Arabidopsis thaliana: one gene and its partners. The protein of the gene in region 1 interacts with the protein of each later gene in a biochemical or structural test. Each region holds a gene or a part of one and is shown in the gene's direction. Other genes may lie near its edges.

The links.
Region 2: the proteins of EIN4 (region 1) and AT1G17345 form a complex in vitro, tested with the Arabidopsis thaliana proteins (one study listed by BioGRID).
Region 3: the proteins of EIN4 (region 1) and AT1G72430 form a complex in vitro, tested with the Arabidopsis thaliana proteins (one study listed by BioGRID).
Region 4: the proteins of EIN4 (region 1) and AT5G20820 form a complex in vitro, tested with the Arabidopsis thaliana proteins (one study listed by BioGRID).

The regions. Positions count from the first base shown.
Region 1 is NC_003074.8:1,234,679-1,240,623, reverse strand, and holds EIN4 (Signal transduction histidine kinase, hybrid-type, ethylene sensor), read left to right. Parts: upstream 1-2,007; 5' UTR 2,008-2,658; coding exon 2,659-4,419; intron 4,420-4,508; coding exon 4,509-5,048; 3' UTR 5,049-5,415; downstream 5,416-5,945. Other genes in the region: AT3G04590 (AT hook motif DNA-binding family protein), read left to right, coding at 110-241, 478-630, 772-1,117, 1,321-1,379.
Region 2 is NC_003070.9:5,938,455-5,942,058, forward strand, and holds AT1G17345 (SAUR-like auxin-responsive protein family), read left to right. Parts: upstream 1-1,837; 5' UTR 1,838-2,070; coding exon 2,071-2,466; 3' UTR 2,467-3,071; downstream 3,072-3,604. UniProt on the Arabidopsis thaliana protein: May be involved in the regulation of ethylene receptor signaling. Promotes cell expansion and plant growth.
Region 3 is NC_003070.9:27,264,076-27,267,413, reverse strand, and holds AT1G72430 (SAUR-like auxin-responsive protein family), read left to right. Parts: upstream 1-1,607; 5' UTR 1,608-1,904; coding exon 1,905-2,264; 3' UTR 2,265-2,812; downstream 2,813-3,338. UniProt on the Arabidopsis thaliana protein: May be involved in the regulation of ethylene receptor signaling. Promotes cell expansion and plant growth.
Region 4 is NC_003076.8:7,046,217-7,049,077, reverse strand, and holds AT5G20820 (SAUR-like auxin-responsive protein family), read left to right. Parts: upstream 1-1,631; 5' UTR 1,632-1,783; coding exon 1,784-2,167; 3' UTR 2,168-2,331; downstream 2,332-2,861. UniProt on the Arabidopsis thaliana protein: May be involved in the regulation of ethylene receptor signaling. Promotes cell expansion and plant growth. Involved in the regulation of cell elongation.

The DNA.
Region 1 (5,945 bases):
CATTCTTTCAATTCTAAGTCATTCTATTTCTCTTTTTGTTTCATTGATACTAATGCAAATCGAGGAGGATCCTTAATGATTCTAAGTGTTCTCTTTGTGATACTGTCAGGATGTGGTCCAGAAAATTATGATGTTCGCAAACCAAAGCAAGCATGAACTATGCGTTCTTTCTGCATCAGGCACTATCTCTAATGCATCCTTGCGCCAACCGGCTCCATCAGGAGGCAACTTACCATATGAGGTGATTTTCTCTTGCAGTAAAATAGTACTCAGCTTGCTTCTTTGTTGTTTCTTTCCAAAGGGGAGAGGAGGGTTTTTTCTTTCTGATCCTTTCTCTCTATTCTGTGTGATAGAGGAAAATTGATACACAATACAGTTAGCATGTTGATAAAGCAAAGAGATTCTTAATTCAGATACTTTCTTTGAAGTTTGCATATCATTGTTAAACTTGCCTCAAATTTCAAAAAATTTATTCAGGGTCAATACGAGATTCTCTCACTATCTGGATCCTATATCCGAACTGAACAAGGTGGTAAATCCGGCGGCCTTAGCGTTTCTTTATCTGCTTCAGATGGTCAGATCATCGGTGGAGCGATTGGTAGCCATCTCACAGCTGCTGGCCCGGTTCAGGTACAATTCTGTTGTATCATAGTTTCAACTTGCATATATTGAAACATTGTTATTGTTTCCAACCATCTTACACAAAACTGATCATTTCCTAAGATAGGAGGTCTGGCTTTGATTGATCGCCTTAGATTTGTGCAAATGCAGGTGATTCTTGGTACGTTTCAGCTTGATAGAAAGAAGGATGCCGCCGGGAGTGGTGGGAAAGGGGATGCTTCAAACAGTGGAAGTCGGTTAACTTCTCCTGTAAGCTCTGGACAGTTGCTTGGCATGGGTTTCCCTCCTGGTATGGAATCTACGGGAAGAAATCCAATGAGGGGAAACGACGAGCAACATGATCATCATCATCATCAAGCCGGTTTGGGTGGACCTCATCATTTCATGATGCAAGCGCCGCAGGGGATACACATGACACATTCCAGGCCATCTGAATGGCGCGGAGGAGGCAACAGCGGTCATGATGGCAGAGGCGGTGGCGGGTATGATTTGTCAGGTAACAAAAAAGCTCAAAACTTCTCGAAAGATGTCATCTTTCTTCATCAAAGTTCAAACCCTTAAATCCAAACAAGGACAGATTAGAATTGCTATGGAGATTGGTGGAAATTAGTATTTTGTAGAGTTCTAGAAGATTACAGGCTAAAGCTCTTCTCCGTTGTGGCAATGGCTTGAAACGCTGATGGATGTAATCTTGTGCAGGAAGGATAGGACATGAGTCGTCGGAGAATGGAGATTACGAGCAGCAAATACCGGATTAGCAGAGCTTCCAGGAGAAGTGTGTAGAGTTTAGATCCCAAGTAGAGAAACAGAAGGCGAGCAAAGAATCTGAACTGAGAGAGGACTTATTAGACAGAGACTCGTCTGAAGGGTCTTTAATCATAGAAAGAAGTTGCTGAGTGATTGCTTTTGTTCTTCTTCTTGGTACGGTGTATTATATTAACTCCACAACCTTTTTTTTATACTTTCAGTAACGATTCTCCTTCACTTTCAATTTCATTCCTTTTTTTTATACTCTTTTTCTTTTCTTATAATATTTTTTTTGGTTTTTCTTTCGTTTGTTACTAAAAAAGGAAATGCTCTTTTTGTGAAATATATACACTTCGTTTGTTCGGTTTCTACTTATGTTAATTATTCATAACCTATCTTAATTTAGTAAACGGTTCCTATGAGCCGTTACTTGGACCAAAACATTAACTCATTTGACGAAGAACAAAAAAACTCATTTGAGAATTCTGTTTATTTATTCATATTAATATTGATTTAGTTTAAAATTCTTGGTAACTTTATGTCAAGTTGTCAACTTGTAAATTTCTTGATTGATAATGTTGGAATGCTATAACTTATGTGAAGCCAAAAATTACTGTTAAAAATTCTTATCTTTAATGGGAATTTTTTGTTGACATCTAAGCTTAAAGTGAAACACCACCATTTTTATGGACTTGAGCAACTCTCCGGAAATTGCTTAAGCGAAAAGTCTGCTGCTTTTGTCTTAAAAAAACTTTGAATATTGTTGACTCAAGTCTGAAAATCCGCAACTGAAACTCCCGGAAAAGATCTGCCACCACCGGACCAACTCGGTTTCTTCTCTTTTCTAATCACTTCTTCTGTTTCTCCAACTTCTGTGAAAAAGATGTCAGATTGACTCGATTTCGTTGCTACAAATGGAGATGGGTCTTTCTTATTTATCTTACTAGATTCGAGAGGTGTGTTCTTTCTCTATTCTATTGGCTTGAATCTTAGCTTTCGTTTTTCTCTGATTACCTTCCCCTGGAATTTAAAAAAAAAAAACTCAAAGGCGGTTTCTTTTCTCAGTACTACGAATATCGAGGAACATAGATCTTGATTCCTTTGCCTTCTTCTGGGTATGCGTGTTTGGAGTTGTTTAATCTCATTGGTCTCTACGCGTTGTGGAAATCTATGAATACCAAGTCAGTTATGTTTAATTGGTTCATTGGATCTCAACTTGTAGAGAGCCTCAAGATTGTGGCTGGATTTGATTAGGGTTTTAGATAGAGAGATTAAAGATTGGATCAGAAGATGTTAAGATCTTTAGGTCTTGGATTGCTTCTGTTTGCTCTTCTTGCTCTGGTTTCTGGTGATAACGATTACGTGAGCTGTAATTGTGACGACGAAGGTTTCTTAAGTGTCCACACCATCTTAGAATGTCAAAGAGTGAGTGATCTCTTAATAGCCATTGCCTATTTCTCAATACCTCTCGAGCTTCTCTACTTCATTAGCTTCTCCAATGTTCCTTTCAAATGGGTTCTTGTTCAATTCATTGCCTTTATTGTCCTATGTGGAATGACTCATTTGCTTAACGCTTGGACGTATTACGGACCACACTCTTTCCAGCTTATGCTTTGGCTTACCATCTTTAAATTCCTCACGGCGCTTGTCTCGTGTGCCACGGCTATCACGCTCTTGACTTTGATTCCGTTGCTGTTGAAATGGAAAGTTAGAGAGCTTTACTTGAAGCAGAATGTGTTGGAGCTTAATGAAGAGGTTGGATTGATGAAGAGGCAGAAGGAAATGAGTGTGCAGGTGAGAATGCTTACTCGGGAGATCAGGAAATCGCTCGATAAGCATATGATTCTGCGGACTACTCTCGTTGAGCTATCCAAGATTCTTGATTTACAGAACTCTGCTGTTTGGATGCCTAACGAGAACAGAACCGAGATGCATTTGACTCATGAGCTTAGAGCGAATCCGATGAGGAGTTTCAGGGTAATCCCGATTAATGATCCCGATGTTGTTCAGGTTAGGGAGACCAAAGTAGTGACAATTTTGAGGAAAAACTCTGTTCTTGCGGTTGAGAGCAGTGGTTGTGGCGGTTCGGAAGAGTTTGGACCGGTTGCTGCAATTCGGATGCCGATGCTTCACGGATTGAATTTCAAAGGAGGCACTCCCGAGTTTGTGGATACTCCTTATGCTATAATGGTTTTGGTACTTCCGAGTGCGAATTCACGGGTTTGGACCGATAAAGAGATCGAGATAGCGGAAGTTGTTGCTGATCAAGTAGCGGTTGCTATCTCTCATGCCTCAGTTCTTGAAGAATCACAGTTAATGAGAGAAAAACTCGGTATTCAAAACCGAGCTTTACTTCGAGCAAAACAGAACGCGATGATGGCAAGTCAAGCGAGGAACACTTGCCAGAAAGTGATGAGTCATGGAATGAGGAGACCAATGCACACAATTCTTGGTCTACTCTCCATGTTTCAGTCCGAAAGTATGAGTCTTGACCAGAAAATCATCGTTGATGCGCTCATGAAAACAAGCACAGTTCTCTCAGCTTTAATCAACGACGTGATTGACATTTCGCCTAAAGATAACGGGAAATCTGCATTAGAGGTTAAACGGTTCCAGCTACATTCCTTGATAAGAGAAGCCGCTTGTGTTGCTAAATGCTTAAGCGTTTACAAAGGTTACGGTTTTGAGATGGATGTTCAAACGCGGTTGCCTAATTTAGTAGTAGGAGATGAAAAGAGAACGTTTCAGCTTGTGATGTATATGCTTGGGTATATCTTGGATATGACTGATGGAGGCAAAACCGTTACGTTCCGAGTTATCTGTGAAGGTACTGGAACAAGTCAGGACAAGAGCAAAAGAGAAACTGGAATGTGGAAGTCCCATATGTCCGATGATTCCCTCGGTGTGAAATTTGAAGTTGAGATTAATGAGATTCAGAATCCTCCATTGGATGGTTCGGCTATGGCTATGAGACATATTCCGAACAGAAGATATCATAGCAATGGGATTAAGGAAGGCTTGAGCTTAGGCATGTGTAGAAAACTTGCACAGGTTAGTGATCTCATCATGTCTCTGTTTCTGTTTGGTATATAGAGATTCTAATTATAAACAGTGTATTTGATTTGAAATTTGTTTTGCAGATGATGCAAGGAAACATATGGATATCACCTAAATCGCATGGACAAACACAGAGTATGCAATTAGTTCTGAGGTTTCAGACAAGACCATCGATTAGGAGATCAATCTTAGCAGGAAATGCTCCAGAGCTTCAACATCCGAATTCAAATTCCATTCTTCGTGGTCTAAGAATCACTCTAGCAGACGATGATGATGTCAACAGAACCGTGACTAAGAGACTTCTTGAGAAACTCGGCTGCGAAGTAACTGCTGTCTCGTCTGGATTTGAGTGTTTGAATGCGTTGTCAAATGTGGAAATGTCGTATAGAGTTGTGATTTTGGATCTGCAGATGCCGGAGATGGATGGTTTCGAAGTAGCAATGAAGATAAGGAAGTTTTGTGGACATCATTGGCCATTGATTATAGCTTTGACTGCTAGTACTGAAGATCATGTTAGGGAAAGATGTTTGCAAATGGGGATGAATGGTATGATCCAGAAACCGGTTCTTTTGCATGTTATGGCTTCTGAGCTTAGACGGGCTTTGCAGACCGCGAGCGAGTGATTCGAGCTCAGAGAAGGAAGCAGATATCAATGAATCTTGAAAAGCAAAAATCTTGAAACGAAGAAAAGCAGAGTGAGGATTCTTTGAAGATGTGAAGCATAGAGACACCTCTCTGGGGAAATGTTTTTGTTGTTGTTGTTGTCTCGGTTCTACAGTGATGAGAATTGAGTCAGTTTTCTCTATTTAGCCTAGTTTGGAGATTGGTTGGTTCGAAACTATTTATACGTAATGATTTCGCATTTTTAGCGAAAAAATAACATAAGTTTATTAGATTTAATAATAATTAATTTTATAATTTTGTCTTGAGTAAATTCTCTCTGAATATTTATACAATTCTTTTTTTGCATCTCATTATTAAATTCATCATATTTTGTCAAAATTCATCGCTTGTATTCTCTAATCTATTGCTCTAACTTTTTATTCTTTGTTTACTATTTTTTGACATTTTTTATTTAGTTTTACTATTCAGACTGAATGTTTCAAGCATTGTATATTTTGGACATTTCTTTGTCAACCAAAAAGAAATAATATTGTATCAAATCAAATGAAATTTATTAATTATTTATTTTTTGTCAATGTAATTTAGTTAGTATTTTATCAAATGTATTTTTTGTTTGTTTTTTGATATAAACAAAAAGTCTATTTAAAAATACTTTTTTTGACGGCAAAAACTTTATTTGACAGCAAAAACGTTTTTTTCTTAAAGACTAAAGTTTAGACCAGACCACCACACCAAACGTTTGATTGCTAAATGTTAGTATCTATACGAACACCAAAGTTAATGTTATTTAATGCTTTGTGTAGTCTTAAGAACGAACATCACGTAACGCTATAAATTATGTTCGACATATCGATGTTCGAATTTTTTAAAATGTACTTATTTGGATTGGATATTAA
Region 2 (3,604 bases), on another chromosome or scaffold:
GGCAGGGTTGAACAGAGTCGTAATAACAGGAAAAGCACAGAATAACAGTTACATCTTGTAAATATCCGACTCATACCTTTGTAAAGATCCACGTTTCTTGTTTTCTTTTTTTTTTCTTTCTTTCTTTCTATTCTTAGCAAAATAGATTTCATTCTTGTTTTTTCACCACCACCCACAAAGTTTGATTCTGTTTTTCTGTTTTTGGTATATATAGAGGGTTTGGTTTGTTTGTTTTTCCATTTTTTTCGTAATTTATTAACCGCCAATTCATGCGCGGCAATAAATTGTGTTATTAGACCTTTGAATCCATTGTGTTGAAAAGTTACCAACAAACTAAAACATAGCATCCTGATAGAATTATTGCCAAAAGGTTTCTTTAAAGGTTAGAGAGGCCTGCGTTTCGAGACCGGCTAATTTCTAAGAAATCTGGCCCCAAAAATATTTATCTTTTTGCACCCGAAAACACTTTATGTTAGACGACAGGAGCCTCTGTAGTATACCACCTAAGGCTTTCTTGACACGTCGTGTAATGGGCTGACTTCAGCAACACACCTTCCTATATAGAGTACTTAAAAATGTGGACAAAAGAAAAAGTGTAACAAGATTAGGATTTTTTTAGATGCTTCATGTTTCAAACTCTTTTCATTAAACAAAATCTTTTTAATTGGCTGGTTAAACCAAGGAAAAGGTGTAACGCACTCTTGAAGAACAAGAACATCCCAACTGGCTAATTTGCTCTTGCAACTAACTTATTTGTTCAGAATATTTTTATTTAATTCTTCTCATTAAATAATTTGATTTTGTTGGCTGTTGGCTGGCAATTGTTCGCCCACCAAAACCAAAAGCTGTCGGATATTTCTGAGATTAATAAAAAAAAATATACAGCTCTTTTCTTCAATGTTTCAGAATTCAATTCGATGAGGTTAGATTAACAATAAAAGTTCAATCAACTGAGTTAGTATGTTATACACTACATTGTCTACGAGAACCAGGGGTTCTGTCTACAGTTCAGAATATACCAAACGAGTTCTTGATTACAAAATTGTAGCATCACAATGTCAACATTTATATATTAGTATTTTTAAAACGTATTATATTTTCGAAGAAATATTTTAGTGTAGTACATTGAACCGATCACAGAGTCAAATGCACATAAGCAGGGTATTGTTTACGTGCGATAAACAGGTTTATATCTGGATTCTTTTTATACATATATATATATAAATCATCACACAGATTACTACTACTAATTAATCAACATTAATCACTATCACTAAGGTATTTAACTAATGATGATCGACGACTATTTTGTTGTTTGATTTCTCTTAGGCTAAACTATTGATAAAAACAAGTTTGGATCACTTTATAAAGGTTTTCTATACTTCTTTTACCAATTAGCTTATCTCCCACAATGTGCAGTTCGATCAAAGACAGATGCTTTTGTTTTATGACTTCAATTGTCGAATTAGTTTTTATTCAAGAAAGTATAAATTTAAATACGTACATATTAAAATATATGGACCGCTTGTGTTCAAAAAAACATATATATAATAACTAAACTACAAGATTTTGTGTGTAATAATTAAAAAGCTAAATTACTATACACCCTATTCTTTCGGCCAAAACCGTAACTTTAAGCGCGACACTAAATATAATTATCATGGAGATCTTATCTCAATCATGATGTAATCTTTATCTAAAAATCATCGATCACCCTTGCTTGGTCCGATTCATTGCACAACAAGACACAAGAGTAGATTGTCCAGCCCACATACACACGTATGCACATATCAACATGCATCCACACACACTTACACATAATATATAATATAGATTATTAAATAAAATTTAGAGCAAGGGGACACCAGTTTTACAGATTTTGTAGCCTCCTTTATCTTTCTTAGCTGTTCTCTTTCTCTCCCTGTCCCTCAATATAAATACAAAGAACCCAATACTTCCTTCTTACGTACCAAGAAAGTTAGTTTCTCAATTCCTGATAAAACATACACAAAACAATAATCTTAATTTCAAGAAACTACTACTATTGCTAAAAATCAGAGACTTTCGCTAATGGCTATATTCGGTAAACTGACAAAGCTCAAGTCTGCCATAAAGAAATGGCCTTCCTTGACCAAGAACCACCATTCAACCATGTGTACCGCCTCTACCGCCGTATCTGAGGTCTCAAAGTGCGAGGATCTCCATGTGGTTTACGTCGGAAAGTCACGAAGACCTTACATGCTTAGTTCCCACGTCATCGCTCATCCGCTTTTCCAAGAACTACTTGACCGGTCGTCTAGATTTATCGAAGAACGTCACGACCAAGAGACCGTCTTAGTAGCTTGCGAAGTCGTATTGTTCGAGCACTTGTTATGGATGCTCAAAAACAGTTCCTCTGATCACGGCGATGAGGATGATCGCGAAAGAGGATCCGTCGAGGAGTTGGCTGAGTTCTATACTTATTGACGGCGCGATACATATCCATATATACTTTTATTTCGTTAATTTTGGAATTTGATTCGACATGATCCAATAATGCGGTCATGCACAGACCATTTTCTTTGCTTTTGTTTTTCTCCCGAGCAAATTTTTAGAGTTAACTAGTAATCTTTAACTAATATTATAATTATGTCGGTCGAAAGAGGGTAGTAGTATCTTGCCCCAAATGATGATAAATTGTAACATATGCTAAAATTGTTTTTTATGATTAGCTCCATTTGATATACATGTACTCTACAGTAGTACGTAGTTATGAGATTTTCGAAAGAATAAAAGTGGCCGCCACATGATGATGCGCAGGGCTACCCAATTGCACGGACGGTTGTCCTACTTGCCTTTCTAGTGGCATCAAGCTGTCACGGAAACAAATATTTAAGTATAAATTACTAACTACGTCTATAAGTGTATCCAAGTTGTAATGTGAAGTGAAATTAGGTATAAACTTCTTGGAGTAATTAATTAAACATGACTACGATGTGAGTATGTATGGCTCGTAATCATAATGGTGGTTTTTAATAAAATAATAAAATATAGGATGCTCATTAACTCGACCAGCATAATTATTTATGTAGTTCTTAATATCTCATGTCAAGCTATAGCCTATATGTAGATAATGGGATATCTTTGCCTGAATATAAACAAAGAATTATGTATTTCAACGTTGAAAAAAAATTCGTATTAATTGAATCTGTATAAAAAAATGGACACTTTGTGGATTTACTATTGGGGAATATATTGGAGAACTTGGGCCAAATAGGCCCATTTAATAAGATTGGTCTCGCAAAACGGCATCGTGGCGTAGAAACAGTGACGTGCAGCTTGGTGGTCTTCAAGTTTGACTGTTAATCGGTAAACAGAGGCTGATTGTGCGACGGTGACGGCAAATCCAGTGAGTGAGTTCCTATCATCTTTGCTTCGTTTAGTGGAAACTCTAAAACTTTAGAATAGTTTTAGTTAGTCTTTAGCATTTGGCTTGTTCTAATTATCAGATCTTCTTGTTCTGAGATTTTTCTTTCCTGTGCATTTCGGAGCAGAATATGAATTCATATGGCAACCTTTTTATTAGCGTCTGTGATATATGTCGGGTTTTTCTGAAGGATTTGGG
Region 3 (3,338 bases), on another chromosome or scaffold:
TAATCGAAAATTTCTCTTAAATTAAGTTTCTAACCTTTTTAGTAATATTTAATCTAATCCAAAAAAATGAATTTCTAAAAGTATCACACCTTAGAATATTAAGTAATACATGTTGCTACCTTTATATAATTAAGTTATAGCATAACTCGATTTATGCTAATCATTGCAATGATTACGAATCGGAAGTAATTAGTATTCCTAAATTCAGATTGCTTGTTTGTTTCGTGTGATGCCAGTATGTATATGCTGCATATATGCGCGTATCATTTTCCTTTCTTCAAATCTTCAAAAATTCTCTAAGATCTTCACTATTCAAAAATAAAATATTTCACTCTTGATCAAATTGTAGGTCTGGTTTGATGTTTTACTAGCTACATAAGTACATTAAGATAAAGATAGTTATCTAATGTTTAATGATGAGAGAGTACTATATTACTATTTTATTTCTTTTGCTATAAACAAGTACTATATGTTCGACCATTTATAAAAAAGAAGTATCTAAAAATTCCTTAAATGATTAGCTTACCATCCACAACTTTTTTTGTTCGATAAAAGACAGACGGTAAGGTAAGGTCTTCTCCACCTAATTTCTCGGAAATGCCAAACTAACTTTATGAAAAGAATGAGCAATATTTATGATTATGCATTTGCACTAGATAAAAGGACTGTGTCTTGTCGAAAAGAGCATAATATGCTTGTGGTTAGTTTTTGCATCCGTCAATAAAACCTAATTACCGTGTAAATTATATGAGTTTACGAGTTTAATTTTATAGTATGCTTTTTGAATGTTCATATCTAATTTATGTTCTTAATATGAAATGAAGAAAATCGAAGGTAAATCGACAGATGAAGACCATACTTGTTTTCTATAGTACATGATAATATGAACGACAAAAAATTAGCATTATCGGGTAATATTGAACAAAATTGTGGACAAGATGTAATCGTTATCTAAAAAACATCGCTCTTTGTCCGATCATTAGACAACAACACGCAATAAGAGGTTGCCTACACATCTCTACTCACCGCACGTATATGTATATATCTACAAATTATTATATACTATAAGACATCATAATATACAAAATACAATTTAAAAAAAAATTATACAACAAACATGAATGTTTATCAAGCAAGCATTTCCAAAACTGGATTTGTGGTGTCTGACATTTATGTAGGCAAAACAAAATGTCACAGGTAAGAGAAATAGTGTGTATATATAGTATCAAATATATATAAAAAGGAAAAAAAATTGTATCAAATAATTTAATAGTTTTGTTATGTTAAATTAGATAAAATGTTATTTATTATGTATTTTTTATTGATATATATATATATATATATTTAGCCAAATAAATTAATGGTGTAATGATCACTTGTTATATCTGTTTTTTTTAATAGAACGTATTTATCAGTTTTTTCGTAGACCGTATCATTCCCTCATCCATCTATCATAATTTTACAATATTTTTCTTATCAGCAAGTGTAATTTGTAACATGAAAATAAATGAATGAATATGGCAAAATTTATTACAAAATTAAAATTATTACGAATCTCAATATATAATTACAAGATACAACAAAAAAGAAAGAAAAAACAATGGGCAAAAAACGATACTAGTTTTGCCATTTATGTCCTCATCTCTCTTAGCTGTTATGCATCAATCGGTGGGTCATGCACCTATACGTTCTCTCTCTATCTCACTCAATATATATACACGAACCTTCCTCGTTATTTCCTCCCAAGAACATCTCTCAAACATTCCTCTCTTCTTCTTCCAATATTTTGATCCCCACACACACTCACATCAACACATATAAATCTCCTCGTAAACCCTAAACCCTAGCTAGTTTCAACAACTCTCTTGTTCCAACCCCAAGAAAAAAGTTCAATTTCGTTAGCAATGGCCAAAGTTGGGAAGCTGACAAAGCTTAAGTCGGCTATGAAGAAATGGCCTTCTTTCGCCAAGAACCACCACCACTCAACCTCCTCAGCCGCTGTTTCCGACGAACTCTCAGAAGACAACAATCTCCATGTGGTTTACGTTGGTCAAACTCGAAGACCTTACATGCTTAGACCAGACATCATCTCTCACCCACTCTTTCAAGAACTCGTGGATCGGTCTTCTTCTAGATCCATCGAACAAGATCGTGAGATTGTTGTAGCTTGTGAAGTCGTTTTGTTCGAGCACTTGCTGTGGATGCTCAAGTCTGGTCAAGAAGGAGGATCCGTTGAAGAATTGGCTGAGTTCTATACTTATTGACATCGACCGATTGATTTTATACATTTATTTCGTATAATATATACCTTTTTTGTTGTTGTTTGTTGTTGCTGATTTGTATTTTCATTCGATGCGGTGTGTGATCAAAACGTGATCTCGTAAACCATGTCATTTGCTTCCGTTTTTCTGAGCAATTTTATGATGATGATGAGCATATGTAGTTTTCTTACTTTGTTAAGACCAACCAAGAATAAATTTCTACTAACAACAATCTTTATATATATTTTCCTTCAAAATGTATTTCAGTACCTATATTAATTGTAATATACATAAAAAAAGAATGCAATGATTTCAAGAAAACAAACTAAGTTTTCTGGTAGGTTTTGTTTCTATATTTATTTTATTATGGCGGTTTTGTAAACTTTTGTTTCTATTTTCGTAACGTATCTTTCTCATATGAGTCATGAGTCTCATGACATAATAAAGAAGGCCTTTGATGATGTTCGATAAACAAAAGTTGGTTGAATATGATGAGTCCAATTCATTTATTTTGCTTTATATAAACAAAATATGACTAGCAATGATTTCTATCATCGATATTCATTTTTTTTTTTTTTTGCGTATCATTTGTATGGTGTCAGTTTCAAATCTATTTTTGTGTGTGTATAAAATAGAAAATACGTATGCAATTTCTTTTAAGGAAATAATAATGGTCGCTCTCATGACGCGTTGGTGACCTGGTCCCAATTTCATGTCCCTACTCTCCTTTCTAGTTGCAGACATTATATATTTATCTTTTAATATTCTTGAACTTTCAGCCATACAAAATAAATTAAAGCTTACAGGTTAATTAGTCGATATACTAATAAATTTGTAGTTTGTTGTACTAATTGGCATTACTTACACCAACATATGTGCATTAATATACGTTTATAGACATAAATTGGTAGATAAAATAACTGACATTAATTTTCCGAGGTGGGTACGAAAAGGACGCGCAGAATAATTATTGAAGATAAGTATAATTAGTAAGACCAAAATAAATTAATTTCCTACGTAGGACGAAGTTCTAATCATTATAATCAAAGAAAAGAAGTTTCTTTGCTAAGTTTAATT
Region 4 (2,861 bases), on another chromosome or scaffold:
ATGTTTCCTCAAAACAAATGTTTGGTTTTATTGTCCACGGGCTATGCACCACTTAAATAGTGGGGAACACACATGTGTGTGCATTCCCCTTTGTTTAAGGCAATTCTGATATTAAGAACTAAAGCTTTGTATCAACTTTATGAGTAAGTTCCATGCTAGCTTTAGGTTTTTCAAAGGTTTAGATTATATGTCTGCAATGGTGAACGTAAACTATGAATGCATATGCATTATAAGATAGTTTTTCAACGTTTTTTGGCCTTTTGGGAAAGAAACTTCAGTCGTCTAAACGGTTCCTCTAGTACAGCTTGACGCTTTGGCAGGTGATCGAGTCCGCCCAAAAATAGAGAACTTGACATTTTCACTAACAAATTTATTTGATACTATAAATCTGTGATTGGTCGTTGCTCTCATCTTAATTTCTTCTATATTATCTTTACTTGGACTCTTCCGCCAATCTTTTATAAATCTCACACTTTTAATTAATATGATGTCTAGTTTATTACGAAGATTGATAAACTTTTCAATTAATTATAAGTAGACAAACTAGGAGGAGGTCCAATTTCATATTAATATTTTGGTTACATGATTAGAAAGACATTTGATGCCCTTGTGTCGGCTGATTATGATATAAACAATTTTACGTAAAAAAAGAAGAAGACAAATCTTCCGGAACTCACATGCTGTAACAGTAGAAGCCAATACTACGTAAATAATAAATAAACTTCACAAATGAATAATGTCGGAGTCTAATCTAACCACAACAAAATGACAAAATTTTGCAATTTTATAGTATTTGTTATTGTAACATGTTATGTGTAAAAAAAGAGAAGATAATTTTTTTAATCAAAAGCAGAGATAGCCAATTACTTACCTAACTAATTAGAACTAATAAGCCGCTTTAGAAGTTCATGAACCTCCTTTAGTTGTTGGATTAGTTTATTATAATCAAGTGATTACATAAAGTTCACAGCTTCATTTATATTGTTATGATCTTCATTCAAAGAAATTTATATTTTATATAAACGAGAAAAATGGGAACTCCATAAATTTTTAGAAGAAAAATTGTCGTAGTTAAATATCTAACTGAAATTCGTTGAAAGAAAAGAGAATATATTTAAAGTTTCTAATAAATACTATGAAAATCCTTTGAAGAAAAGTACATATTGAATAGAACATATAATCTAGTAAGTTTGTGGTACTCGTTACTTCATCATTTGGATTGAAATGACACAAAAACAAATGTGATGAAGATCCAAACTTAACAAAAATTCATCCAAAATATAAGTTTACACTTTACACACTCGAAGTCTCGAAGGTTCTTACCACAACGTAGTTAAAACGTTAGCCAAATTTAGTTTTAAGAAAATGGTTATGGGGAAATGATGATGTATATGGTTGACTGGGATAACAAAAACTTTTGGAGTGATGTGGGTTTGCATGTTTTAATATATACTTTTAGCTTTATCTTTCCAATTCATAATCATAATCTTTTCGAATAATTGCTTCCGGCTCTTGGAAACTTTTAGATCATTGGATAATGGCTATTCAAAAATCGGTTGATAACCTAAACGTTCTCAAACTTATTAAAACCATGAAATTATACTGAAAATAATAATACTATAATTACGAATCTACCCTTAGCAAGTTATATAAGAACATCATTCTCCTTTCTCTCTTCGACATCGACATTCCTCTTCCTCGCTTCTCTCTCTCTCTCTCTCTCACCGGAAAACTCACTCGGACTTACATTTCCGACGTCAAACTTCTCCAAACCGAATCGGTAATGGCGAAAGGAGGAAACAAACTGATGAAGCTGAAATCAGTTTTGAAGAAACTCAATTCATTCAACACCAAGCCTAACCAGCCACCAGCTCAAACCAATCACAGCCGATCCTCCGCCGTGAGTGCGTTCCCCTCTGAAGACCTTCAAACTGTCTACGTAGGCCGAACACGGAGGACATACCACGTGAGCTCCGATGTCGTGAGCCACCCGCTCTTCCAGCAGCTAGCGGCGGTGGATGGTGGATGCGGCAGCGAGGACGGTTCCATCTCTGTGTCGTGCGAAGTTGTCTTGTTTGAGCATTTGCTTTGGATGTTGGAGAACGCCGACGCCGATGAGTCACGCCCCGAGTCGGTCTACGAACTTGTCGAGTTCTACGCTTGTTAACTCTTTATGATTAATTTAGGTTCAAAATATATTTATGATTAAATGTTACATGTTTGTATATTCTACACTTTGTATACTTTACACTTTACATAGTATTTCGTGAAATAATCTATTTTCTGTTAAATGATACAACAACGATAAAATAAATGTTTAAATGTGTAAATATTGTCTTGCAAGTTGCAATGTAGTTTAAAAATGATGATTTTTTAATGGTTATACAAAGAGCTAAAACTAATTGCAATGTCAATGTTGTATTTGACTGACTTCGTGAACTAGATCAATCACGGGCTACAAAATTTCAAACCCTAATCAATTCATCTTATCTACTTTAGATTGATTGGCCCCTACGTATTTAAATATATTTATAAAATTTATCCGTGTATCTTTTTTTTTCCATAAAAACATACGTATACACGCATGTCATGCACAATTGCACATAAACATACAAACTAAACAATTAAACAATGAACGTATTATATAGATAAATAATTTTGATAAAGTCTAGACGGATTTGCATCTTTTAAAGTCGCAAAAGAAATATGATGACTGAGAAAAAAAAATATAATAAATTAAATCTACATGTGATGTTTTTTAATTTTTGTTTTGGCAAAAGTCATGTAAGAAACTGATTTTATTTGGTAAAATGCAGAATGAAAAAAAAAACGATTAAACATATTTAGGCTTTATGTGAAAA